2 linked regions of the Mus musculus genome follow. The protein of the gene in region 1 interacts with the protein of each later gene in a biochemical or structural test. Links are inferred from orthologs where the notes say so. Each region holds a gene or a part of one and is shown in the gene's direction. Other genes may lie near its edges.

Evidence for each region.
Region 2: the proteins of Dlg3 (region 1) and Net1 interact in a test that uses a peptide from one of them, tested with the Homo sapiens proteins (2 studies listed by IntAct, with this or other methods). The link is inferred for Mus musculus from reciprocal best matches to the Homo sapiens genes DLG3 and NET1.

Annotation. Positions count from the first base shown.
Region 1 is NC_000086.7:100,761,041-100,773,632, forward strand, and holds the start of Dlg3 (disks large homolog 3), read left to right. Parts: upstream 1-6,681; 5' UTR 6,682-7,031; coding exon 7,032-7,388; intron 7,389-10,266; coding exon 10,267-10,320; intron 10,321-10,574; coding exon 10,575-10,625; intron 10,626-11,016; coding exon 11,017-11,141; intron 11,142-11,326; coding exon 11,327-11,496; intron 11,497-11,782; coding exon 11,783-11,919; intron 11,920-12,224; coding exon 12,225-12,369; intron 12,370-12,592. UniProt on the Homo sapiens protein: Required for learning most likely through its role in synaptic plasticity following NMDA receptor signaling.
Region 2 is NC_000079.6:3,911,870-3,924,555, reverse strand, and holds the start of Net1 (neuroepithelial cell-transforming gene 1 protein), read left to right. Parts: upstream 1-6,335; 5' UTR 6,336-6,490; coding exon 6,491-6,618; intron 6,619-11,621; coding exon 11,622-11,688; intron 11,689-12,686. UniProt on the Homo sapiens protein: Acts as a guanine nucleotide exchange factor (GEF) for RhoA GTPase. May be involved in activation of the SAPK/JNK pathway Stimulates genotoxic stress-induced RHOB activity in breast cancer cells leading to their cell death.

The DNA of each region.
Region 1 (12,592 bases):
TTGAAGAATTGAGTTGGAATTTTAATGGGGATTGCATTGAATCTGTAGATTGCTTTTGGCAAGATAGCCATTTTTACAATGTTGGTCCTGCCAATCCATGAGCATGGGAGATCTTTCCATCTTCTGAGATCTTCTTTAATTTCTTTCTTCAGGGACTTGAAGTTTTTATCATACAGATCTTTCACTTCCTTCGTTAGAGTCACGCCGAGATATTTTATATTATTTGTGGCTATTGAGAAGGGTGTTGTTTCCCTAATTTCTTTCTCAGCCTGTTTATTCTTTGTGTAGAGAAAGGCCATTGACTTGTTTGAGTTAATTTTATATCCAGCTACTTCACCGAAGCTGTTTATCAGGTTTAGGAGTTCTCTGTTGGAATTTTTAGGGTCACTTATATATACTATCATATCATCTGCAAAAAGTGATATTTTGACTTCCTCTTTTCCAATTTGTATCCCCTTGATCTCCTTTTGTTGTCGAATTGCTCTGGCTAATACTTCAAGTACTATGTTGAAAAGGTAGGGAGAAAGTGGGCAGCCTTGTCTAGTCCCTGATTTTAGTGGGATTGCTTCCAGCTTCTCTCCATTTACTTTGATGTTGGCTACTGGTTTGCTGTAGATTGCTTTTATCATGTTTAGGTATTGGCCTTGAATTCCTGATCTTTCCAGAACTTTTATCATGAATGGGTGTTGGATCTTGTCAAATGCTTTTTCTGCATCTAACGAGATGATCATGTGGTTTTTGTCTTTGAGTTTGTTTATATAATGGATTACATTGATGGATTTTCGTATATTAAACCATCCCTGCATCCCTGGAATAAAACCTACTTGGTCAGGATGGATGATTGCTTTAATGTGTTCTTGGATTCGGTTAGCGAGAATTTTATTAAGAATTTTTGCATCGATGTTCATAAGAGAAATTGGTCTGAAGTTCTCTATCTTTGTTGGATCTTTCTGTGGTTTAGGTATCAGAGTAATAGTGGCTTCATAAAATGAGTTGGGTAGAATACCTTCTACTTCTATCTTGTGAAAAAGTTTGTGCAGAACTGGAGTTAGATCTTCTTTGAAGGTCTGATAGAACTCTGCACTAAACCCGTCTGGTCCTGGGCTTTTTTTGGCTGGGAGACTATTAATAACTGCTTCTATTTCTTTAGGGGATATGGGACTGTTTAGAAGGTCAACTTGATCCTGATTCAACTTTGGTACCTGGTATCTGTCCAGAAATTTGTCCATTTCGTCCAGGTTTTCCAGTTTTGTTGAGTATAGCCTTCTGTAGAAGGATCTGATTGTGTTTTGGATTTCTTCAGGATCTGTTGTTATGTCTCCCTTTTCATTTCTGATTTTGTTAATTAGGATTTTGTCCCTGTGCCCTTTAGTGAGTCTAGCTAAGGGTTTATCTATCTTGTTGATTTTCTCAAAGAACCAACTCCTCGTTTGGTTAATTCTTTGAATAGTTCTTCTTGTTTCCACTTGGTTGATTTCACCCCTGAGTTTGATTATTTCCTGCCGTCTACTCCTCTTGGGTGAATTTGCTTCCTTTTTTTCTAGAGCTTTTAGATGTGTTGTCAAGCTGCTAGTATGTGCTCTCTCCCGTTTTTTCTTGAAGGCACTCATAGCTATGAGTTTCCCTCTTAGAAATGCTTTCATTGTGTCCCAAAGGTTTGGGTACGTTGTGGCTTCATTTTCATTAAACTCTAAAAAGTCTTTAATTTCTTTCTTTATTCCTTCCTTGACCAAGGTATCATTGAGAAGAGTGTTGTTCAGTTTCCATGTGAATGTTGGCTTTCTGTTATTTATTTTGTTATTGAAGATCAGCCTTAGTGCATGGTGATCTGATAGGATACATGGGACAATTTCAATATTTTTGAATCTGTTGAGGCCTGATTTGTGACCTATTATGTGGTCAATTTTGGAGAAGGTACCATGAGGTGCTGAGAAGAAGGTATATCCTTTTGTTTTAGGATAAAATGTTCTGTAGATATCTGTCAGATCCATTTGTTTCATCACTTCTGTTAGTTTCAGTGTGTCCCTGTTTAGTTTCTGTTTCCATGATCTGTCCATTGGTGAAAGTGGTGTGTTGAAGTCTCCCACTATTATTGTGTGAGGCGCAATGTGTGCTTTGAGCTTTACTAAAGTTTCTTTAGTGAATGTGGCTGCTCTTGTATTTGGAGCATAGATATTCAGAATTGAGAGTTCCTCTTGGAGGATTTTACCTTTGATGAGAATGAAGTGTCCCTCCTTGTCTTTTTTGATGACTTTGGGTTGGAAGTCAATCTTATCAGATATTAGGATGGCTACTCCTGCTTGTTTCTTCATACCATTTGCTTGGAAAATTGTTTTCCAGCCTTTCATTCTGAGGTAGTGTCTATCTTTTTCTCTGAGATGAGTTTCCTGTAAGCAGCAAAATGTTGGGTCTTGTTTGTGTAGCCAGTTTGTTAGTCTATGTCTTTTTATTGGCGAGTTGAGACCATTGATGTTAAGAGATATTAAGGAAAAGTAATTGTTGCTTCCTGTTATTTTAGTTGTTAAAGGTGGCATTCTGTTCTTGTGGCTGTCTTCTTTTAGGTTTGTTGAGGGATTACCTTCTTGTTTTTTCTAGGGCGTTGTTCCCGTTCTTGTATTGGTTTTTTTCTGTTATTATCCTTTGAAGGGCTGGATTCGTGGAGAGATAATGCGTGAATTTGGTTTTGTCATGGAATACTTTGGTTTCTCCCTCTATGATAATTGAGAGTTTGGCTGGGTATAGTAGCCTGGGCTGCAGTTTGTGTTCTCTTAGTGTCTGTATAACATCTGTCCAGGCTCTTCTGGCTTTCATAGTCTCTGGTGAAAAATCTGGTGTAATTCTGATAGGCTTGCCTTTATATGTTACTTGACCTTTTTCCCTTACTGCTTTTAGTATTCTATCTTTATTTAGTGCATTTGATGTTCTGATTATTATGTGTCGGGAGGAATTTCTTTTCTGGTCCAGTCTATTTGGAGTTCTGTAGGCTTCTTGTATGTTCATATGCATCTCATTCTTTAGATTTGGGAAGTTTTCTTCAATAATTTTGTTGAAGATGTTTGCTGGACCTTTGAGTTGAAAATCTTCATTCTCATCCACTCCTATTATCCGTACGTTTGGTCTTCTTATTGTGTCCTGGATTTCCTGGATATTTTGAGTTAGGATCTTTTTGCATTTTCCATTTTCTTTGATTGTTGTGCCGATGTTCTCTATGGAATCTTCTGCACCTGAGATTCTCTCTTCCATCTCTTGTATTCTGTTGCTGATGCTCAAATCTATGGTTCCAGATTTCTTTCCTAGGGTTTCTATCTCTAGTGTTGCCTCGCTTTGAGTTTTCTTTATTGTGTCTACTTCCCTTTTTAGGTCTAGTATGGTTTTGTTCATTTCCATCACCTGTTTGTATGTTTTTTCCTCTTTTTCTGTAAGGACTTCTACCTGTTTGATTGTGTTTTCCTGTTTTTCTTTAAGGACTTGTAACTCTTTAGCAGTGTTCTCCTGTATTTCTTTAAGTGATTTATTAAAGTCCTTCTTGATGTCCTCTACCATCATCATGAGATATGCTTTTAAATCTAGGTCTAGGTTCTCAGGTGTGTTGGGGTTCCCTGGACTGGGCGAAGTGGGTGTGCTGGGTTCTGGTGATGGTGAGTGGTCTTGGTTCCTGTTAGTAAGATTCCTCCGTTTACCTTTCGCCATCTGGTAATCTCTGGAGTTAGTAGTTATAGTTGACTCTGTTTAGAGATTGTTCTTCTGGTGATTCTGTTACCGTCTATCAGCAGACCTGGGAGACAGATTCTCTCCTCTGAGTTTCAGTGCTCAGAGCACTCTCTGCTGGCAAGCTCTCTTACAGGGAAGGTGCGCAGATATCTTGTATTTGGACCTCCTCCTGGCCGAAGAAGAAGGCCCAAAACAGGACCTTTCTCAGACACTGTGTTGCTTTGGCAGTTCCCAGGTGGTACAGACTCTCACCTAAGCAGACTAAATTCCTAAGTTCCTTGGAGTCCCGGGACCAAGATGGCGACCGCTGCTGCTGTGGCTTAGGCCGCCTCCCCAGCCGGGTGGGCACCTGTCCTCCGGTCCGGAAGGTGGCCGGCTGTCCCCGGCCCACACAGGGTGCTGCCTCAGCTCCTCTGTGCTTCTGCCTGTTCCAGAAGCTGTCAGGTTCTCTGGCGCACCCTCTCACCTGTTCAGACTAATTTCCTAAGTTCGGCGGGTCCCGGACCAAGATGGCGACCGCTGCTGCTGTGGCTTAGGTCGCCTCCCCAGCCGGGCGGGCACCTGTCCTCCGGTCCGGAAGGTGGCCGGCTGTCCCCGGCCCACACAGGGTGCTGCCTCAGCCCCTCTGTGCTTCTGCCTGTTCCAGAGGCTGTCAGGTTCTCTGGCGCACCCTCTCACCTGTTCAGACTAATTTCCTAAGTTCGTGCATATTTCTTTAAACAGTTCACACCATGGATTGTCTGTCAGTGCTCTCCATACCATCGGGAAGATGTTTAGTAACTTTCGATATAAGTAATCAAATGAGAGACGTGCAGAAATCACGTCTTTCTCTAGAACTGCTTGTAGTACCAAAATCTGCAGTAGACAGGTCTCTGTAAATGAATAGAACCAATAGAATGTATACATATTATATGTGGGCTTATTGGATTGGCTTACATGATAGGGAAACTAGCAGTCCAACAATGGCTGTCTGTACACTGGCAAGGCATGGAATGTGGTAGCTGCTCAGTCCAAAAAAAAAAAAAAAAAGACATTTCAGCAGACCCAATCCAGTGTCAAAAGCCTGGAGAGTCACTGAAAAGTCACTGGTGTTAAGTTCACTTGGATAAAGTCTGGTGGCGGCCAATAATGGCAACAGCAGTGATACGTGCAGTCAAAAGGAAGAGAAGAGGGAATAAAGGGATGGCTCAGTAGCTAAGAGCACTCGTTGTTCTTGCAGAAGACCCAAATTTGGTTCTGAGGGACAACTATCTGTAACTTCAATATCTGAGGATCTGACACGCCCTACTGGCCTCTGCCAGAACTGCACGCAAATGGCTCAAATACATACATGCAGGTAAAACACTAGTACACAGAAAATGAAACAAGTCTACAAATAATTTTTGTAAAGGAAGTGAAAGCAGGCATAGGCTTGCTGCATTTTACTCAGACCTCTCTGTATCTGGGTGACCCATTGGAAGATGCCACTCCCACTGAAGGTCTGTTCATCCGCACTTGAAATGCCCTCACAGATATGCCCAATGCGTATCTTCTAGGTGATTCTAATTCTACTGAAGTTGACAACCATGGCTAGTTACCATAACTATATGGTTTTCTGTTCTTTGTTGCACTTACGTTTGTCTACATCCTCTCAGGGACTGGGTCTGTTTGTTGTATATCGTATTGTTCTATTACTATATTCTAGAACAGTGTTTGGCATGAACATCTGTTGAATTAAGCCCAAGTCTCTATTCACAACACCCATGTGATGGCTTTACACCGGGTAAGTGCTCAATTAATGTCTGTTAAATGAAACGGAGACCTAAAATCTGCAGAACTTAGAGCACAGTGCTTATCTGAGTAGTTTAGAGCATGGGTTCCAGTCAAATGGCAAGAACTTTCATCTCTCAGTTATGCTACCTAGTTGTGTTAGCACCGCTGAGCTTACAGTTCTTATTGGTAGAATGGAGGTACCTTTAGTACTGCCTTGATAGAGACTTTTGTTTGCACCTCAGACTTTGTAACGATTCAGTCATTGTCTGCTAAAGATAAAACAAGGACAGAAACAAAAAGCTAGCCTGGGTGGCACCTGTAATATCACCAATCAAGTAGTTGAGGCAGGATGATCACTCTGTCTCAAAAAAAAAAAAAGATTCTTTCTGTCTTATGATTACCCTTTCCCCACCTTCCAACAGCGTGAGCGAGGAGAAGTCAAGGAGACCTCCTTCAATCGGGATTCCTGGGTGCTGTGCCAGAACCAAAGAATTGGCTTCTTTCACTTTAGATCTTTTCTTACCACTTCCTTGTACCCGAACTCCCTTTCCTCGTAACATTTCAAGCCTCTTTTCCCTAACATAACCATGGAGTGGAGGCAGAAGTGTCGGAGGCAGGCATAAATAGTTTTCTCTCGTTGCCGGTTCTGAGGTTAGTCTCTCACTGGTGATGTAAGAAAGGTCGACTGTGAGAGATACTCATTACAGGGCCTAGGAAATGAAAGAACAATGGTCCTGATGAGGATGCGCTGACAGACCTGGATGCTGCCCTTTTCCTTGGTCCCCTGCAGGAGGCAGCACTTCGCGCACCCTGTCCAGATGCCCCTTTGATCGGTTCTATTGCTGCCTTTACTTCTGATGGCCCTAGCTTAGAGCAAGCTTAGGGACCCATTGAGCATCTCACTGCAACTCCCTCTTGCCAGTGGGGCGGGGTGGAGCGGGCAGAAGACAGCCTGAAATTGGCAACACGAGAACACAGGATCGCAGGATCATACTCTTCAGCTCTCTAGTGGCCCAAATCTCAGCCACCTAGACTAGGGTTGCCAGTAACTCCACAGAATAGGGGAGATGTGTCTGAGTCCGGGGGGTGGGGGGGCGCCTCTGCTTCTGCTCCTTTAAGAAGCCGCTGTTTAGCATTCCTGCTGCTGCCGCTGCCGCTGCCTGACTCTGCGCTCTGATTGGCTGGAATCAATTGAGAAGGGAGCCAGGGAGAGATGCTCTTGACTCCACTCAGATCCATCCTGGGGACCTGAGCAGAAGAGGTTCTCGCCGCACCTAGCCTTTGCCTGGGCGCCCGATTCTTCTTTGCCGCTGGGCCTCGGCCCAGAAGCCACAACGGGCGACACGGAGCCGCCAGTGCTGGAGGGGGAGCCATGGGTGCGGGGCAGCGTGGGGGCAGAGGCCCCAGGACGCCCGCCCGGCCCCAGGCCCCGCTCAGCCAGGGCACCCCCACGGGTGCCCCCTCCTTCTTGGTCTGAGCAGTGCGAGTGTGCTAGGGAGCCCGGCGGCGGCGGCGGCGGCGTGGAAACTGGCGTGGGCTGGGGGGTCCGAGCCGCGGGGGGCAGTGCCATGCACAAGCACCAGCACTGCTGTAAGTGCCCCGAGTGCTATGAGGTGACCCGCCTGGCCGCCCTGCGGCGTCTTGAGCCTCCTGGCTACGGGGACTGGCAGGTGCCGGACCCCTATGGGCCAAGTGGGGGCAATGGGGCTAGCTCCGGTTATGGAGGCTACAGCTCGCAGACCCTGCCTTCACAGGCAGGGGCTACCCCCACCCCTCGCACCAAGGCCAAGCTCATCCCCACAGGCCGAGATGTGGGGCCAGTGCCCCCTAAGCCAGTCCCCGGCAAGAGCACCCCAAAACTCAACGGCAGTGGCCCCGGCTGGTGGCCCGAGTGCACCTGTACCAACCGGGACTGGTATGAGCAGGTAAGGACCGGCAGATGAGGAGGAGGGGAGGCTGGTGGGACAACCCAAAGGACTAGGGATTGGGGTCTAGGAAGTCTGGGGAGCAGTAGAGGTTGCTGGGGCTCCAAGTCTATGGATCTGAGCCTTTAGCAGCTGACCAAAGAGAGACTGTTGAAAATACATCTTCTATGTGTGTCTGTTTAGGGGGTCTCCGTTTGGAGGGGATTGGGAGGAGCTGTTTGTATCAGGGGGTGATGGTATGGCGGAGGGGCACATTTTTCTAGTGTGGGGGATTTGGGTTTGTCTCAGTGCAGGGCGGGGGGGTGGCAGTGTCTCTGTGTCTGGCAGGGGGCGGGAGGTTCTGCGGGGGTTGTATGTGGTGTGTGTCTCCATAGGAGGGGAGGAGGGGGCATGGTGCTCTGCGTGGGGGGGACATATGTGTTTGTATGTATGTTGGGGTGTGTGGAAGAAAGCAATGGAGCTTGTGTGAATGTATGTATCAGAACCCATGTGCCCAGATGGCTGAGCGTCATCTCTCCATACCATGAGTCCCTCTCCATCCCAGTCCCTTTGTGTGTGAACGTGCACATGGATATGTGAGGATGTGTCTCTGAATGTGAAGGTGTCTCTGTCGATGAGGCTGCAGGGATAGCTGTGTTCGCCCGAGGGTGTCTCCATGTATATGTGTGTAAGCATGTGGCTTCAAGAGTGTACACGTGTGTGTGTGTGTGTGTGTGTGTGTGTGTGTGTGTTGTCCCTGATGAGAAGCGCTTAACAGGCAAAAGGGGGGGGGGCAAGACACATCCCAAGCAAGGCTGAGATGCTGCTGAGAAGGACAGACTCTTTTGTCCAAGCTGCTCTGAAGTGTGTGCTGCGGGGGGTTGGGGGGCAGGGGGTGTTAAACAAGCCTTCTTGCTCCAAAGCAGGCATATTGCCTGGAACCAGGCAAAGGGTAGCTGCCCTAATGCAGGGTCTTCTCTGAGTGGGACATGGCCCTTATGGGTACCCACAGATGTGAGAGAGCTTAGCTCCCCAGCTCTGATTTGGCACAGCTTGGGAGCCCCTGGGTGCTGGGCACAACTCCGGCTTCCACTCCCAGCCTGAACTGCCAGCTTAGAAAATGGAAGGAGCGTCTGTGGGAGAAACAGCAAAATGGAGGCTGGGCCAGCAGAGCCAGGTCTCTGGCACGCATGGCGGAGGGCCTGTCTAGTTCTTCAGTTCTGCAACCCCCAGGGTGGAAAGAGAGGAGGAGAGGCTTTGCTCTCTATGGAAGGTGCTGACTGTCCCAAGCTGGTGACCATCTGGTCACCCCTGTCCTCTTCGGAGAATAGGATGTGCTTTTACCTAGAAGCAAAAGAGGGGGCTTCTTGGAGATCAGAATTATCCATTCTGTATGTCTGTCTGTCTACACCTCTTCCTATGTCCCTAGCCTTGGTTCCTTGCCCTCTCCAGTGAGTCCCCTCTTTTTTGCCCCTCCCTTATAAGCACACGCTCATGCTTGGCCTGCCTAGTGAGAAATAGGTGCCAATTCCAGGGCCGGGCCTGTTGGGTGATCTTTGGATGGCTCCTGACCCTAGAGGCAAGGTCCCTGAGTGGAAGTGGGACCAGAGCTAGAGGGTGGACTACTGGGAGCTGAAACCTCCAGGTGCCACCCAAACTAGGTGGGCATGGCTTATCACATGTGGAACACACATGGTACACTAGGTACACGAGAGAGTGTACCTGCATGGGCTCTCTTTTGCTCTGTAACGGTTGTATGGCACTTCAGTTGGCTGTGTTAGTTGCGGGGGGGGGGGTCTCTGATGAAGCAGTGATTTTTCTTCCTGGGACCAGGGTGAGGCTGCAGCTGGAGCCCTCCCCACTGACTCCTTAAGACCACAGAACATGAAGGGGGAGAGAGAGGGGAGGCTAGTCAGCACTCTTGAAGCCAGTGCTGCAGAGGATGAAGGTGGGAAGGGGGAGGCAGAGCAGACTATGTTAGAAGAACACTCACCCTGTGTGCTCTCTTCTGGGGCCACAACTTCAGAAGGGTGTAACACAGCCAGAGAAATGTGGATCAGTGCTGGGACACTTGGTGAGGGAGACAAGGGGCTTCCTTTAGTCTTGAAAATGATTGTGGGAATGAGGAAGCAGGTGTACTTGTCTGTGCAGAATCAGATTTCCACTTGAACAAAGGCCACAAGTATGTCCTGTCTGGAAGGCAATGTCTATTTGTTGCTGAAAACAACCTGTGTTTTTTTTTTTTTTTGAACCCCTTACTAGCCTGTCTTGCCATGGCTACTGTGTGCTTAAGATCACAAATTCTGATCCTACTGTCTATGGGTCATCAGGTTCCCCGTCATGGGAAATTTTGTCTACCCCAGTCCTGTCCTAACCCTGATTTGTCCTCAGACTCCTGGCCAGTTCCCACCCTGACCCTTTCTTCTGGAGCACAGAAAGGGTTCAAATCAAAAGTTGCTTTGGAAAAAAATTTGGATTAGGATTTTCACTCCTGTCCATTTGAGAACTTGTATTTCTGGGACCTTTGAAGGACGTGTAAAAATAGGACTTCCGGGAAATAACTCTGATGGAAATAACATGGAGAAGGGATGATCAGCCAAATTACCACTGGCCTTGAAACCTCCTATAGTCCAAAGAGTACCTGGAGATACAAGTTCTATATCCTAACTCCCAGTGTGCTTTTGGCACACCCCACAACCACTCTGGGCCTTAGTGTCCTCAATTGTCATGTGAAAGTGGTATATGTTGTCTTTCTATATCTGACATTGTGGGACTCTATGATCCCAAAGTCAGGGGGAACTGTTGTTCAGAAATGGAGAGGTTCCCTCACCAGGCTTCCTATGGATGTTGGGTGTGGTACAGTTTGCCCACCATGCTCCATCTCTGCCATCCCCCTTAGGCCAGCCCTGCACCCCTCCTAGTGAACCCCGAGGCCCTGGAGCCCAGCCTATCGGTGAGTGCACCACTGGTTGGCTCAGTCTCAGACAGTTGATCTGGGCTAAACAAGCAACTGGTTTTGGACTGATATGGTTGGATACAAGGGGAGGGATGTGCTCGCTCAGGGTCAGCCTGTCCCCATCTGTGATCTAGAGATGCCTTGTCGTGTGCTTGGGATCTTTGTGGGAGTGGGGAAGGAGTAAACTGATGAGAGGGCAGATGAGTAGGTGGGCAGAAGACACTGAAGGAAGTGCTACTGTCTTCTTTTAGGTGAATGGCAGTGATGGCATGTTCAAGTATGAGGAGATAGTACTGGAACGGGTAAGTTTTCCAGGAGGGAGATTGGGAAACAGGGGGCAAAGTTTACATCCAGGAGAGGGGAGGGCCTAGAGCAGCATTTCAAGACTCACGGGGGAGCCTATACTGAGGGTATGAGGAAACAGGGCCTTCAGAAGCCACATCACTGCAGCTACCAATCAACTCACAAATATTGATCTTGTTGACTGAGGCCTGGAAACTTGGGGTGGGGGTTGGTTTGCTGAGGCCTCTCCACCAAAATGGTGAACATAGACTGAGAAACTGCTAGGTTTCTGATGAATGTGCCCCACCCTTCCCTTGGAATCTGGAGAACCGACTCTGGGATATGGAAGGAGATGGAACCCTCCTGTGTGCTCTCAGAATGAAATGACTGTGCCCTTCCACCCCCTTTCAGGGCAACTCTGGCCTTGGCTTCAGTATCGCAGGTGGCATCGACAACCCTCATGTCCCTGATGACCCTGGCATCTTTATTACCAAGATCATTCCTGGTGGAGCAGCTGCCATGGATGGGAGGCTGGGGTGAGATGGCCTGGAAGCAGGGCTGTGGGTGGAAGGGACAGGATGGAGATGAGGGACAAGGATGACCCTTCCATTATATTGGAGAAGAAGAGGGAAAGGAGGAAGGGAGAGCCGAGGAGAGGGAAGATACAGGCGACAATAGAGGGGCGGCACACACTGTCATGCCTCTTGGGCTTTCCCTACAGGGTGAATGACTGTGTGCTACGGGTGAATGAGGTGGACGTGTCCGAGGTGGTGCACAGCCGGGCCGTGGAGGCACTGAAGGAGGCAGGCCCTGTGGTGCGGTTGGTGGTGCGGAGGCGACAGCCCCCACCTGAGACTATCATGGAGGTCAACCTGCTCAAAGGGCCAAAAGGTGGGGCCCTCCTGGTTCCCGTGCTCTAGCAACCCACCCCCAGCCCCTGGGTTCATGGCCGCCCCATAGGTGAATGGAAGGGAGGGGTTTTTCTCCTGGCATGATTACTCCAGTCCCAGATCCTAGCCTTCTTTCTTGACCTCCGATTTCAATCCTTACTGACCTTGGGATGATAGGATGGTGAAGCTTTTGGAGAGGGCAGAGGGAGGGGATTGGCTTCAAAATGGATGAACCGTGCTAACTTCTCCCTGTGGCTCTCTCCCACTTCCTGCTGGCTGCCATTTAGGCCTAGGTTTCAGCATTGCTGGGGGCATTGGCAACCAGCACATCCCAGGAGACAACAGCATCTATATCACCAAGATCATTGAAGGAGGAGCTGCTCAGAAGGATGGACGCCTACAGATTGGGGACCGGCTGCTTGCGGTGAGATAGCCTTCAAGGGGATGCCCAAACAGTAGGGTAGGGAGGATCAGCTCTGGTAAACCGTCTCACTCCATCAAAACCTCACCTCAGGATAAGGCATTTTGGCAATTTCAAGATCACCTGAGTTGGTCTTACTCAGCTAACAAGGCCCTAGTTTTTTCCCATGGTGGGGCCAACCATGCTTATATATTATCCCTTTAACCCTACCCGACTGGTACCTGTTAGTATGCTGAAAGACCACTCCTTTGAGTGCCCCGGAGAAGTTTTCCCTTCTAAGACCCACCCTAGGGTGTCTCCTCTTCTAGGTGAACAATACCAATCTGCAGGATGTGAGGCATGAGGAAGCTGTGGCCTCACTCAAGAACACATCAGACATGGTCTATCTGAAGGTGGCCAAGCCAGGCAGCATCCACCTCAACGATATGTATGCTCCCCCTGACTATGCCAGCAGTACGTACTCATTGCTCTTTGGCCCTGGTTTCAGTGGAGACGGTGTCTGGCCCCTTTGTTCAGAAAGAACTAGTACTGATGGTATTGTCATAACTGAGTTCAGGTGCCAGCCTTGTGCTTTGGAGTTGGGTGCCCTTGGACAAGACCTTTTCACAACTTTAGTTTTTCTCTTTAGTCCAAATAAGCTAATGGTGTGTGTGTGTGTGTGTGTGTGTGTGTGTGT
Region 2 (12,686 bases), on another chromosome or scaffold:
GGCCTAAACAAGGTGTGATGAAGTTTGCGCCAACTACACCTTAGTCTTCTAAGTTAGTGACTATTTAACTGTAACTGCTTCTAAACTATATGTATGATGAATATAATAAATTACATTGTGTGTATTTGTGGGAGGAGAGCTCACATTCATGTGTATGCGCATGCCTTGGGAGACCAGAGGACAGACTCCAGCGTTGGTCCCCAAAAGCCACCCACCTTGGTTTTTGTTGCAGGGTCTCTCACTGGCCTGGCACTTGCTGATTAAGCTAGGCTGGTTGGCTGAGGTAGCCAAGGCATTTTAAAATTAACTGGCAAACGTGTGTGTGTGTGTGTGTGTGTGTGTGTGTGTGCCCTAGGGATCCATTTGCCCCCACCTATACATCACAGATTGTCTTAGTAACTATTCTATTGCTGTGAAGAAACACCATGGCCAAGATGACGCTTATAGAAGAAAGCATTTAGCCAGGTCTTGTTTATAGCTTCAGAGGCTCAGTCCATTATCATGGTGGGAAGAACAGCAGCATGCGGGTAGATATAGTGCTAGAGAGGCACCAGAGGCCACAGGCATCAGAGAGAAATAAACCCAGTGCCACACTGTCTCTAACAAGAGGGCACACCTCTTAATCCTTTGAAATGTTTCCATCGCCACTCCCTGGCGATCAACCAATCAAATCTATGAGTCTATGGGAGCCATTCTTATTCAAATCACCATACTAATATACCAACACACTGGTATAATGAAGGATACAGCTAAGGCTTTCATGCTTGTATAACAAGCACTTTTCTGACTATCTTCACAACCCTCACAAATGTCCTCCAAAGTTTTTCCTTTGGTGTTAAGAATTGAGTCAATGTTCATGAAGAAAACGAAAGCATATGGGTAACACTTGCTGCACTTGCAAATCAGCCTGGAAGTGCTGGGAACCAAACTCCTGTCTTCTGCAAAGGCAGCGAGAGCTCTTCCCACTGAGCTATCTCTCCAGCCCCAAATCAACCTTTTCCATTTGCTCCATATGGATTTGATAGGTATCTTCTCCTTGAATAAGGTTCAGACCATTCTCAAAACAGACAAGACCAGACACATTCAGTTGGGTGTAAACATAAATCAGTCCTAAAGAATTACAGAGAACAAAGACAGTATCATTTTTTTTCTTTGTTTTTTTTTTTCCCCTCTCTTTTTGAGACAGGCTCTTACTATGTAGACTGTATGAAATTCCAATTCTCAGTCAGCTCACACTGACTGGCCTCTTACATGCTGGGATTAAAGCCATGTGTTGGAGATTGGTTCTAATGCTTTTGATTCAATGGGGAATCTTTGTGATTCCAAAAGCTAAAGGTCCTTGTCCCCAATTGTTTTTTGATAGATAATAAAGATGCCAGCAGTTAATGACTGGGCAAAAGGAGAAGGGGCAGGACCCTTAGAGTTGTGTGAGCTAGGACACAGAGGGGAGGAGACGGAGAGATCGCCATGAAGTGGTGGGAGATGGATGGATGCAGAAGCTGCAGGAGAGAAAGCCAACCACCCGTGTGAGAATTCAGGCTGTGTGTGTGTGTGTGTGTGTGTGTGTGTGTTCAATTCATAAATCCAAAGAGTTTCTGGGAGGGTGGCTGGAAGTGCATAACCCTCGGAGAACACAAAGTGGTGTAGCCCAAATCTACCTCTACAGCCATGCATTGCCATTGCTTGGTCAGATGCACTCTTTCTACCAGCACCTCCCACACATGCACTTTGTCCAACAGCACTCCCAGACATGGGCGAATTTTCTAGATTTGTGCTATTACTTTGCTAATATAGTACTTTAATTTTAATTTGTTATACTTATTTTCTTTGGTAAGCAAGTTCAAATTCCTAAAACTTTATGGAAGCATCTCTCACATAAACTACAGCAACTCTCCATAATGTATGTTTTCCTTGTGCAATTAGTTGAAAAGCTGCAAGACCAACATTGAGACTTTCCAAAGAAAAAAGAAAATTCTGATGTAGATAACAGCATCTGTGTCTTCAACAGCTCCTAGTCAAGGGTTCCAGCCCACAGAGCACCTGCTGATGGCAGATCCCACAGCTTCTACAACCACATACAGCAAATCCTTGAAATAAATCCTATATGCATACAGCACTGGTTTAGACACACTTGGTAGCTATGCTTAAGTCTTCAAAGAATGAAGAAAATGAAGCTGATAAAAGCATGGTGCTTGCTCTTAGGATTCCCTTTCATTACCATTTGTTTCTTAAGGTTTTTTTATTTTAGTATTTTTTTTTAGTAAATGTAATTTCAGTGGCCAGTTCTTCACATACAACCAACCAAAAGAGCCGCCTTGAATTTCTGTTGGCTTTGGGTTTTGTTTTTGTTTGAGTTCATTGTTTTTGAGATTTATGTTTATTTTGTGTGTGTGGGTGTGTATGGCCATGGGCCCAATATGCGTGGGCACAAGTGTAGGTAAGAAGAAGGCATTGGATTAAACTGGAGTTAAAGGCAGTTGTAGGCTACTCAATGTGGATACTGAAGTCCAAACTTGTATCTTCTACAAGGTCAACAAGTTCTCTTAACTGCTGAGCTACCTCTCCAGCTCTGGTTTTGGCTCTTTAAGACAAAGTCTTAACATGTGGACCAATTTAACCTGAGCTCCCCATCTTCCTGCCTCTACCTCCCAAGTCTTGAGATTACGAGCTTGTGAAACCTTATTTATCTAAGAAAAAAAAAACCTCTCAGCAACAAACTAGTGATTTGGGGTTGTTTGTTTGTTTGTTTGTTTGTTTAAATCACTCAGCTCTGAAAAATAATTCTGACTAATATCCTGAACATTTTTGAAGTACTGTTTGATGATCCTCCATTGATGGGCTCTAGAAATCACTGGCCATTGTCGTTCTGCCCTTATTTCACCCAAATCCTTCCCATCTCCTTCCATCCTTTCCACCCATTAGGAACATAACTCAGACTTTTAAGTCTTCAATGTCTTTTACTAAGATAGTCAAGCACACACACACACACTGCAATGACACCATGACCAAAAATCAAGTTGGAGAAGAAAGGGTTTATTTTATGCTCCCACAACACGGTTCATCATCAAAGGAAGTCAGGACAGGAACTCAAGCGGTATATGAACCTGGAGGCAAGAGCTGAAGCAGAAGTCACACAAGAGTGCTGCTTATTGGCCTGCTCCTCATGGCTTGCTTAGTCTTCTTTCTTATAGAACCCAAGGCCACCAGCCCAGGGATGGCACCACCTATGATGGACTGGTCCCTCCCCCATCAATCACTAATTAAGAAAATACCTACAGGCCTACCAATTTTCTCCACCCTAACCTGAAAAAACTATGTTATAACAGAGGAACCATTTGTCCAGAGTTGAAGATTCAATGATTCGCAGGTCATGTATTTAGTTCTGTCCTAGACAGTGAAAAATACTGAATCCAGGAAGCAGAGGGACAGGTCATTTAGACAATAGAAGATCAATCTATTATACATTTGTAGGGTTTCACTGGCCTTTTCCAAGGTTTTGTGACCAACTCTCAATATGTAGTTATGGTGATTTGAGTGACAAATGTCCTTCATAGGCTCTAGTCTTCAAACACCTGGTCCCCAGTTGGTGGTGCCATTTAGGAATGTTTATGGGTGGACCCTTGGGTGAAGAAAGTATGTCACTAGGGTCTGGCTTTTGGAGTTCATAGCACACTCCATTTCCAGTTCCCTCTCTACCTTGTAGTTGTAGTCAAAGATATGATCATTTTTTTTCTCCTAACACTGTTCCTGAAGCTTGCTGCCACATCTCCCAACAACAACAGACCATAAGCCCAAATAAACTCATCCTTTGGTAAGTTGCTTTGGTCAGAGTGTTTTATTACAACAGAACATCAACAAGTAAAAAGTCCAGCTTCCTTCCACGTGCTTCAATATACCATGGGCCTTCAATTCCTTTTCTTATGGTACAACCTAGCTGAAAGTCTAGTATTTTATTGTAGATATTCAATAGATATGTATGAGTAGCTAAAAAAAAAGTAACAACTTCCCAAGTGAATGAATATTGAAAGAATTTTCCTGCACAATTTCCATGCAGTGCACAACTTCCATGAAGTCCCCATATCAGCATCTTTTATTATCTATCACATTGATAGTAAATGTTCCCTAATAACTTCTGGTGATAACACCAAAACCAGCTTCAGTATCTTCAGGAATAGAGACAAACTAACTTGCTTCTGTGTGTAAAAGTGTGTGGTTCCACTAAAATATCTTCATTCTACCAAACTCGGCATAGAGATCAATTGTTTTGGATGACATTTCTGTATTTACATTGTATTTGCTAAACGCAATATTTTCTCCAGTATCTCACTCTGTTTAAGAATTCTTAAATCAAGAAAATAAAAATAAAAAGCATTTTTAAGTGCCAAAAGTCTTACCACCTAGAAAAATTTAATTAATCTCAACTTTCTATTCTGTATAATTACAAAGAGTGATTTATAATTAATTATAGTTCTTTTGTGGGTAGGATTACTATTCTATGATGAAACACCATTATCAAAAGCAACTTGGAGGGGGGAGGGCTTATTTTACTCACACTCCCCTCACAAATCACTTCATGATTTGTCATAGGGTTTCTATTACTGTGATAAAACACTGTGACAGAGGGGGAAAAAAACTTGAGGAGGGTTTATTCAGCTTACACTTCTATATCACAGTTCATCATCAAGGGAAGTCAGGACAGGAACCCAAGCAGTGCAGGAACCTGGAGGCAAGAGCTGACGCAGAGGCCGTGGAAGAGTGCTTACTAGCTTGTTCGTCATGTCTTCCTCTCCCTACTTTCTTACAGAACCCAGGACTACCAGCCCAAGAATGGTATAGCCATGATGGGCTGGCCTATTTCCCATCAACTACTAATTAAGAAAATGTTCTATAGACTTACCTACCGCCTAATATTAGAGAGGGTTTGTCATGGTTTGAATATGCTTGGCCCAGGGAGTGGCACTGTTTGGAGGCATGGCCTTGTTGGAGTAAGTGTGTCACTGTGGGTGTGAGCTTGAATACCCTTGTTCTATCTGCCTGGAAGCCAGTATTCTGCTAGCAGCCTTCAGATGAAGATATAGAACTCTCAGCTCTTCCTGTACCATGCCTGCCTGGATGCTGCCATGTTCCTGCCTTGATGATAATGGACTGAATCTGTATTCCAGCCCCAATTAAATATTGTCCTTATAAGGGCTGTCTCTTTCATGGTGTCTGTTCACAGCAGTAAAACCCTAAAACAGAATTTTTCTAAATTGACATAAAACTAGCCATCATTGTTCTATATTTCATATTTTATGCTTTCAGTTAAAATCACAATGTTTTGTTTTACTATATACCTCTTATTTTTAATTTTCTTTTATTTTCAAGATTATAATATAATCACACCATTTTCTCCCTTCTCTTTTCTCCTTCCCAACTCTCTCCTATACCCCTTCTTGCTATCTTTCACATTCATGGACTCTTTTTATTAATTATTGTTACATAGTCAATATGTAACAATATGTTATACATATATGTTCCTAAATACACAAATACAGCCAGCTCAGTCTGTATGATGTTATTTGTATGTTTTCAGGGCTAGCTGTTAGTATTGGCTAACCAATGGTATTCCCTGAAGAAGACCATTTCTTTATCGGCTGAATGCAGTCTTCACAGTTAATCAGTTATATTTAGACATCTCCCAGTCATTCATTTAGATTGCCTTTAATTTTTCTATTATACACAACATCATTAATATCTCCCTGTATACAAGAGAGACTACATTTAAGACCATTAGCGATATTTAAAATCAGAGAACGTTTTTATTTACCAATCTTCACATAATAACCTGAGCAGGGTCCCTTGTTTCATGCTGCACGTTTTGCAGTCTTGCAAGCAGAGAAAGCAGCCCTTTCCATTCGGTAAAGCGACTGTGTCCTACTTACTGAAAGACAGGAGTACATAACTAGATTTCACTGGTTCTCTAGAGACATCCTGGAGAACAAAGTATTGTCTTTGGCAATTGGGAATATATTCCACATGTATAACTTAGTGTTTATACGTCCAACTGCCTCTTGCTTTGGGGTCAATACCTTCATCCTGTCTAACGCTAAACAACAACAAATGATAAACAGCTTCCGATCCATTTTCCTGCCCTGCAAGTGAAAGTTCTAGTGAATAGAGACTGCCTTTCAGGAGTAAGGTGTGTAGTTAAAATAAATCCCCAAATTCCTAACTTTCACCTTACCACTTTCCCTTTGTCACTGGAGCTCCTAAAAGTTTGGTATGAAGTCTTCTGATTAGGGCGGGACTCCACGTAGCCTAGCAACCGCTTCCCACTCTCTGATTGGCCGATCTCTGGGCAGCCGCCATTTTCAAATCCCCGGATGACGGCGGTAGCCGCTCTCTGCTAGAAGGCGACTTGCTGCCTCGCAGAAGCTGGCGGGCATTGTGCCCGCCACGATCGGTCTCCTGGGCACTGGGCCACCGCCCCACCAACCCCCCTTCTCCGGACATGGAGCCAGAGCCGGCGGCTCAGAAGCAGCCCCGACCTCGGAGGAGAAGCCGCAGGGTCTCAATGCTCAGCGAGGAACCTGCCGCGGGGCTTCCGGCCGACACACCCGGGCCGGCGGCGAACGAGAGGTGAGGGTGGCGGGAGGTGGGTGAGAGCCGGGGACCGAGTCTGGAGACTCAGGACGGGATGGACTGGACGGTGGGTGACCAAGGACTGGCAGTGCAGTAGGGGAGGTTGGGGAAGGCCGGGCAGAAATGCCGCGGGAGGAGAGTGCGCTGCCCGGCGGGCTGCACCGAGGGCTGCACAGCGACTGCTCGGCCCTGCGTAGAAGGGGTGGACTCGTTGGACTTGTTGACAATCTCCTTTAACCCCGTCCCTGGGGAACCGTACATCTGCACCAGAGCTGTTCTCTACCAGAAACTAGTTGTGGATGCAGGCGCTCAGATCAAGACTGTCGTGGACCCTGTGATGAGAAGAGGAATTGTCACCTGAACAGATACCAACCCTTTCAGCCTAAAAGCGGCTGTTCAAATGAAATGTCCTTTGCAGACCAGAACAGGACAGGCTCCTGGAATGAAGAGATCAGAGAAAGACTCTTTCTGGCTTTTCAGTTATTAGCACATTTTCACATTCTGTGTTGTATCTTCATTTCTATGTGTCTGGGAAAGGCAAACACTAGGTTGATTTCAGAAATCTGTGTCTGGAAGAGAGGCTGTGGGAGTCATAATATTTTTATTAAATAGGAAATTGAAATGGCATTTGTCTGGACTACTCTGTCATTCTTTTGCCCTTCGAAATATGAGAAATGGTCTCAAAGTACTGAATGCAATGGTTTCCCATTATAACGTTAGACATTGAGTTACAAAGTATGTAACTTTGTTCAAATCTACGTCTACATAGTGAGTTTATGATAGTGTCTGCCTCATATAAGGCACTGTGTGAACATCAGTACTTATCATGGGCCTCGGCAGAAAACTCGGCAGAAATCTTGTCTGTCAGTTTTAAATCTGTTAAAGTAACAGTGCTGTGTCTGCTCCATCTTTTCAGACATCCCCATGGTCCACTTGACATGATTTCAGGGTTTTTTTGGTTTTGTTTCTGAGACAAGTTCTCACTGTGTAACTTGGTTACCCCAGAACTCACTACCTGTGTAGAGACGCTGGCCACAAACTCATATTGTACTTCTGTACCAGAGCTGTTCTCCATGGAAACTGGTGGACTGTAGGTGGTCTTACATCCATAGGACTATTGGTGAGAAGAGGAATTGTCACCAAGCAGGCTCCAAACCGTTCTGCCTAAAAACTGGTCTTTCTTCCTTAGCCTCCCCCTGTTCTCGGATTGCAGTGTGAACCTCGACGCCCAGGTCATTTGATAGGATGTTAAATTAATCTTTTATATAGCTTATAATCTAATCATGACAAATGGTTTTGAGGAAAAAGCAAACACCTTACTTTCATTATCAAGGCATGGGCAAACCCATTGTATTAAGTAACTCTATAAAGAGCTAGATTCTTTCAGTTAGTACTGATTTTTATGAGTTTGAAGTTTAAGGCAATATTTACCAGAATTCTTGCCTTCTGAAACTTCCTCTCTTCCAATCAGACCGTGTGTTTAAGAAGTCAGAGTGCAGAAAGAAGGCATCTTTGAGACTGAGAATTACAAGAATTAGGATGGGCTAGTGAAGGAGCAGAAAAGGAGGACTTCCTGAAGATGAACAGAAGCAGTGCTTCATTCCACGTGTGCTCAGTGTAATACAGTTGCACCTGCCCTAGCATCAGACACTGTTGAGGATGATGGGGATTCAGGTGAACAAAAGCAGATGGAGCGCTTGCTCTCAGGAACCTTAGATTCTCTTGGGAGGCGTTGGTCACATCATGCAGTGAATTTAAGCCTTTTTGATTCTGTGCAGAAGAGGAAAGATTCTAGGGCCCAGAGTTGGTAGATGACTCCAAGGAAACAGTATCCTCCAGACATAAGAGCACTGATGCACATCTAAACTTACAGAGATTGAAGGAATGCACAAGACCTGCAACAGGTTCAAACCAGACAAGATCCTAGCACTGAGAATGGGAGAGTTGACACACCATCCCACTCAGAACCAAGAAGCTGTTTGCAATTGATACCTCCTGGGAAAAGGAAAATTGTTGTTTTGTTTTGTTCCAGTGGAGTATTGGTATATCAACCACACTCCAGAGCAAGGCCCATGCCCAGGTGTCTTGGTCACTGATCCATTTTTGTGAAGAGACACCATAATCGAGGCAAAACTTAAAGAAAAGGTTTAACTGAGCCTGGCTTACAGTTTCAGAGGGTAGTCCATTATTATCATCATCATGGGACGCATGTAAGCAGACATGGTGCTAGAGAAGTAGCCAGAGCGCTTTATCCCCATCTGCAGGCAGAAGACAGTCTGACAGGGCCTGGCATGGGCTTTTGAAACCCCAAAATTCATCCCCAGTGACATACTCCTTCAACAAGGCCACACCTCTTAATCCTTCTAATCCTTTTCAAGAGTTTGCATTCAAATATATAAGCCTATAGGTGTTGTCTTATTTTCAAAACTTACTTTAATAAGGGTTCTTAAATGCTTCAACCTCCATTCTAACCTACCACCCACCAGAAGTAATGAAAAGGTTAATAGGGCAAAGGCAGATGTAGACCTGTTTAGAAGGGGTGATTCCAATCTTCAATGTCAGGATATCTGTAGCTCAGTTCTCATGAATCAGCAGTGGTAGCTGGATCCACTGGCAAACACCGTTCACGAATTAACAAGGGCTGTTTGATCCAGAGGAAACCATGAGGCTTTGCCAGTCGCCAGTCAGCCCAAGTCCAAGGAAGCTGCAAGAAGCCATGGAAATATCATGAGAAGTTCTTTGGTGAATTTCTCTCTACAAAGTCATGACAAGCAGTAACCAGTGAAGAAAGCAAAACAAAACCATGGTGGAGTGTCATCCACTGTCTGTTGCATTATAAATATACACTTTCCAAGCATCACGTGTCCTCTCAAGCATTTGCTCCAGCAAGACATCACATGTTCTTTTTCCAGGCAGCTTCCAGAAAAACACCATGTGTCTGTTCTCAGCAAAACATCTTCTCCTGTCTGCTTCAGCAAAAACATCCTCTCATAAGACAGTTTCCAGAAAAAATATCACATGACACGATGAGTCTTCGAAGAAACCAGCATTTCCACTTCATATAGGGGCTATTCTTATTCAGACCACCACACCTTGGGTAGTTGGCCCACACAAAACAGACACCATGTTTTTGTCTGATTGGTTGGTTATTTTGAAATATGAATCCTGCACATTAAGTTTGTTTTAGTATTTTTTTGTCTTAATGTCTTTTTTTTTTTTCATTTCTTTGGATTTTCTGTGTTTTGTTGTTTTTCCTGTTTGTTTTGATGTGGGGGTAGATCATGAGTTGGGTGGGTGAGGAGGTGGGAAAGATCCAGAAGGAACTGGGAAAGGGAAAAGTATGATCAAAGTATATTCTGTGGAAGAAACATTCCTATTTCATTTTTATTTGTTTGGCTGGTTTTGGGGGATCGGGAAGCTGGTATAGGCATGTGTGTGTTTCTTTCACCATGTGGACCCTAGAGATCAAACAGGGTGGCAGGTGCTTTTTACAGGCTATCCTGACAGTCAGTTTTACTGTTCTTTGGTGAAGCCTTTCTGGTAGCCATCTTTCCTTTATTGTCTTTGCTGAAATATACACACTTCTGCTTTCTCTTTAACTTAGAAAAGCTTGTAATTTTTGCCATCTGTAGCATTGTGATATATACATTCATATTGTGATATATACACACATACATACATCTGTAGTATAATGTATGGTAAAGATAATGTATGGTCAAGGTAAGAGTCAGATTTATAAATGGACCATGACCTGGCTAAAAAGCTAAATAATAATTTGTATAAAAGTTGATGTAAAAAAGCTAGAATTTTATTAGCAACTGTCTACTTTAAAGTTTTGGCCTGCTTCTTAAATTGTTTATTAAGATTTATTTTTAATAAAATTTTATTTTGCTTTCATGTATGTATATGCACTATGTGTGTGACTAGTACCCATGAAGACCAAAAACAGGGCATTGAATCCCTGGAGTTAGAGTTAAGGTTTTTGAGAGCCACCACGTGGTGCTGGGAACCCAAGTCCTCTACAGGAGTCTCTCCAACCCCACCCTGACATCTCAGAATCAACCAGAAAAGGCCAGATGCACACTTTATCTCTAGTCACAACAGTTATCACGTCATGTTCTCTTTAGGTTAGCCCACCAATAGCTTCCCCAGGACAGCTCCAACCGGGTTATGCTTGCACCTCCCCACTTTGTCCTGTTATAAAGCTTATCCTCCCTTTATCATTTGAACCTCTGCCAAAAGGCACGTGATGATAACTAGATCCCTTGCTCCTGCAAGCTCGGGACTGTTTCTGCTTTCCTTTGGCTGTCATTTATCCATGTTGGAAAAATATCTTTGTTCTGCATTCTATACATCTTAAGTGATTAACAGTATAGCTCATGGTTATCACCTATGTCATGTTTTGATTTATATATATATATATTTTGTCAATGTACACACTTAACATTTTTGTGAATATACAGGCCTGTATTTTAGAAAGGTAAAAGCAGGTTCCTCTTGCTTTTAACTCCAGTTTTTACAAATCAGGAGAAATGTACATTAATGTAAATAAGAGGATTTGGGTTTTATTTTTTTTTTACTTATATTAAAATATTAGCCATAAGTTTTGAATTGTACCAAGTATAGAGTTATGAGTTCATTTGGTTTTTCATTATTAGTAATATAATTATCAAGGCTGCTGTCATAGTAGTAGATTTTATATTTTTGAGTTGTATATTTACTCATGAGATGAACTGTGTTTATTTTAGAAAGTTATTTTGAATAGTAATCTCTCCACTAATTATATAGATTATATAGTCTCCTTTCAGTGTAAAGATTCTGAGGATGGCATGTACCCTGTCATATTTTGATGCTATCAGGAAAGACTGCTCTCTGCAGCTGCTGACACTGGATCACTATTTTAACTAGGTTTGAGATTAAGACTGTAAAAATGATAGCTCTTTATCTGGCAAGTATAAACTTTTGAAATTACTCTCTCTGTCTGACGCTTCTGTCCGTAGATGCTCCCTTCGGAGAGGCAGCTCCTTCACATTTTTAACCCCTGGCCCACACTGGGACTTCACTTTGGTGAGTAGCTACCTGAGTTTTCATTTCCAACCACTCCTGGGTTATCCACTCCTGGGTTATCCACTCCTGGGTTATCCACTCCTGGGTTATCTTCCATTCTGCTGCACAGCTCACGTATACTTCCGAAGCAGAGCTGCTATAGCTGTACTTAGCCCTTTATTCCCAGCAAGCTGAAGAAAGTTTTATTAAGAGTAAATAAAATAGTCTCAAAGTACTCATATAAATTCACCTTTAACACTGAACTTTTTTGTTCCTTTGAGTGTTAGAAAGTAAGATACTACTTTATGTATATTCTTTGACAACTTCTTTTTGACTGACTGAATGATTGATTGATTGATTGATTGATTGATTTTATGAGTACACTGATGCTGTCTTCAGACACACCAGCAGAGGGCATCAGATCCCACTGCATATGGTTGTGAGCCACCATGTGGTTGCTGGAAATTAAACTCAGGACCTCCAGAAGAGCAGTCAGTCCTCTTAACTGCTGAGCCATCTCTCCAGCTCCAACAAGTTTTTATACTATGTTAAAAATATAAAAATGTTTGACGACATTATATATTTATATATACATACATTTATACATGTGTGTATACAAGTATATATATATACATGTATATGTATATACACACACATAGTATGAGTAAATAATTATCTTCTATTGGTTCCCTCAAGATTTTTTTTATTATTTTATGTATATGGATGTTTTGCCTGCATGTCTACATGTCTGTGTACCATGTACATACATTGCCATGGAAACCAGAATGCCCTGTAACCAGCGTTACACGTGCTTGTTAGTTGCCATGTCAAAGCGCCAGTAGTGCTCTTAACCACTGAGCCATCTCTCCAAACCTAGGACAAGATTTTACAGAGGCACTTAAATTTCTGTGATACGATGAAGAAAATTGATAATTTTTTTTTTGGTACTTAAAACTTAGTATACTGTAATGCACATATAATTAAATCATGATTTTTTTTGTGTGTTTTTCTTATATAAG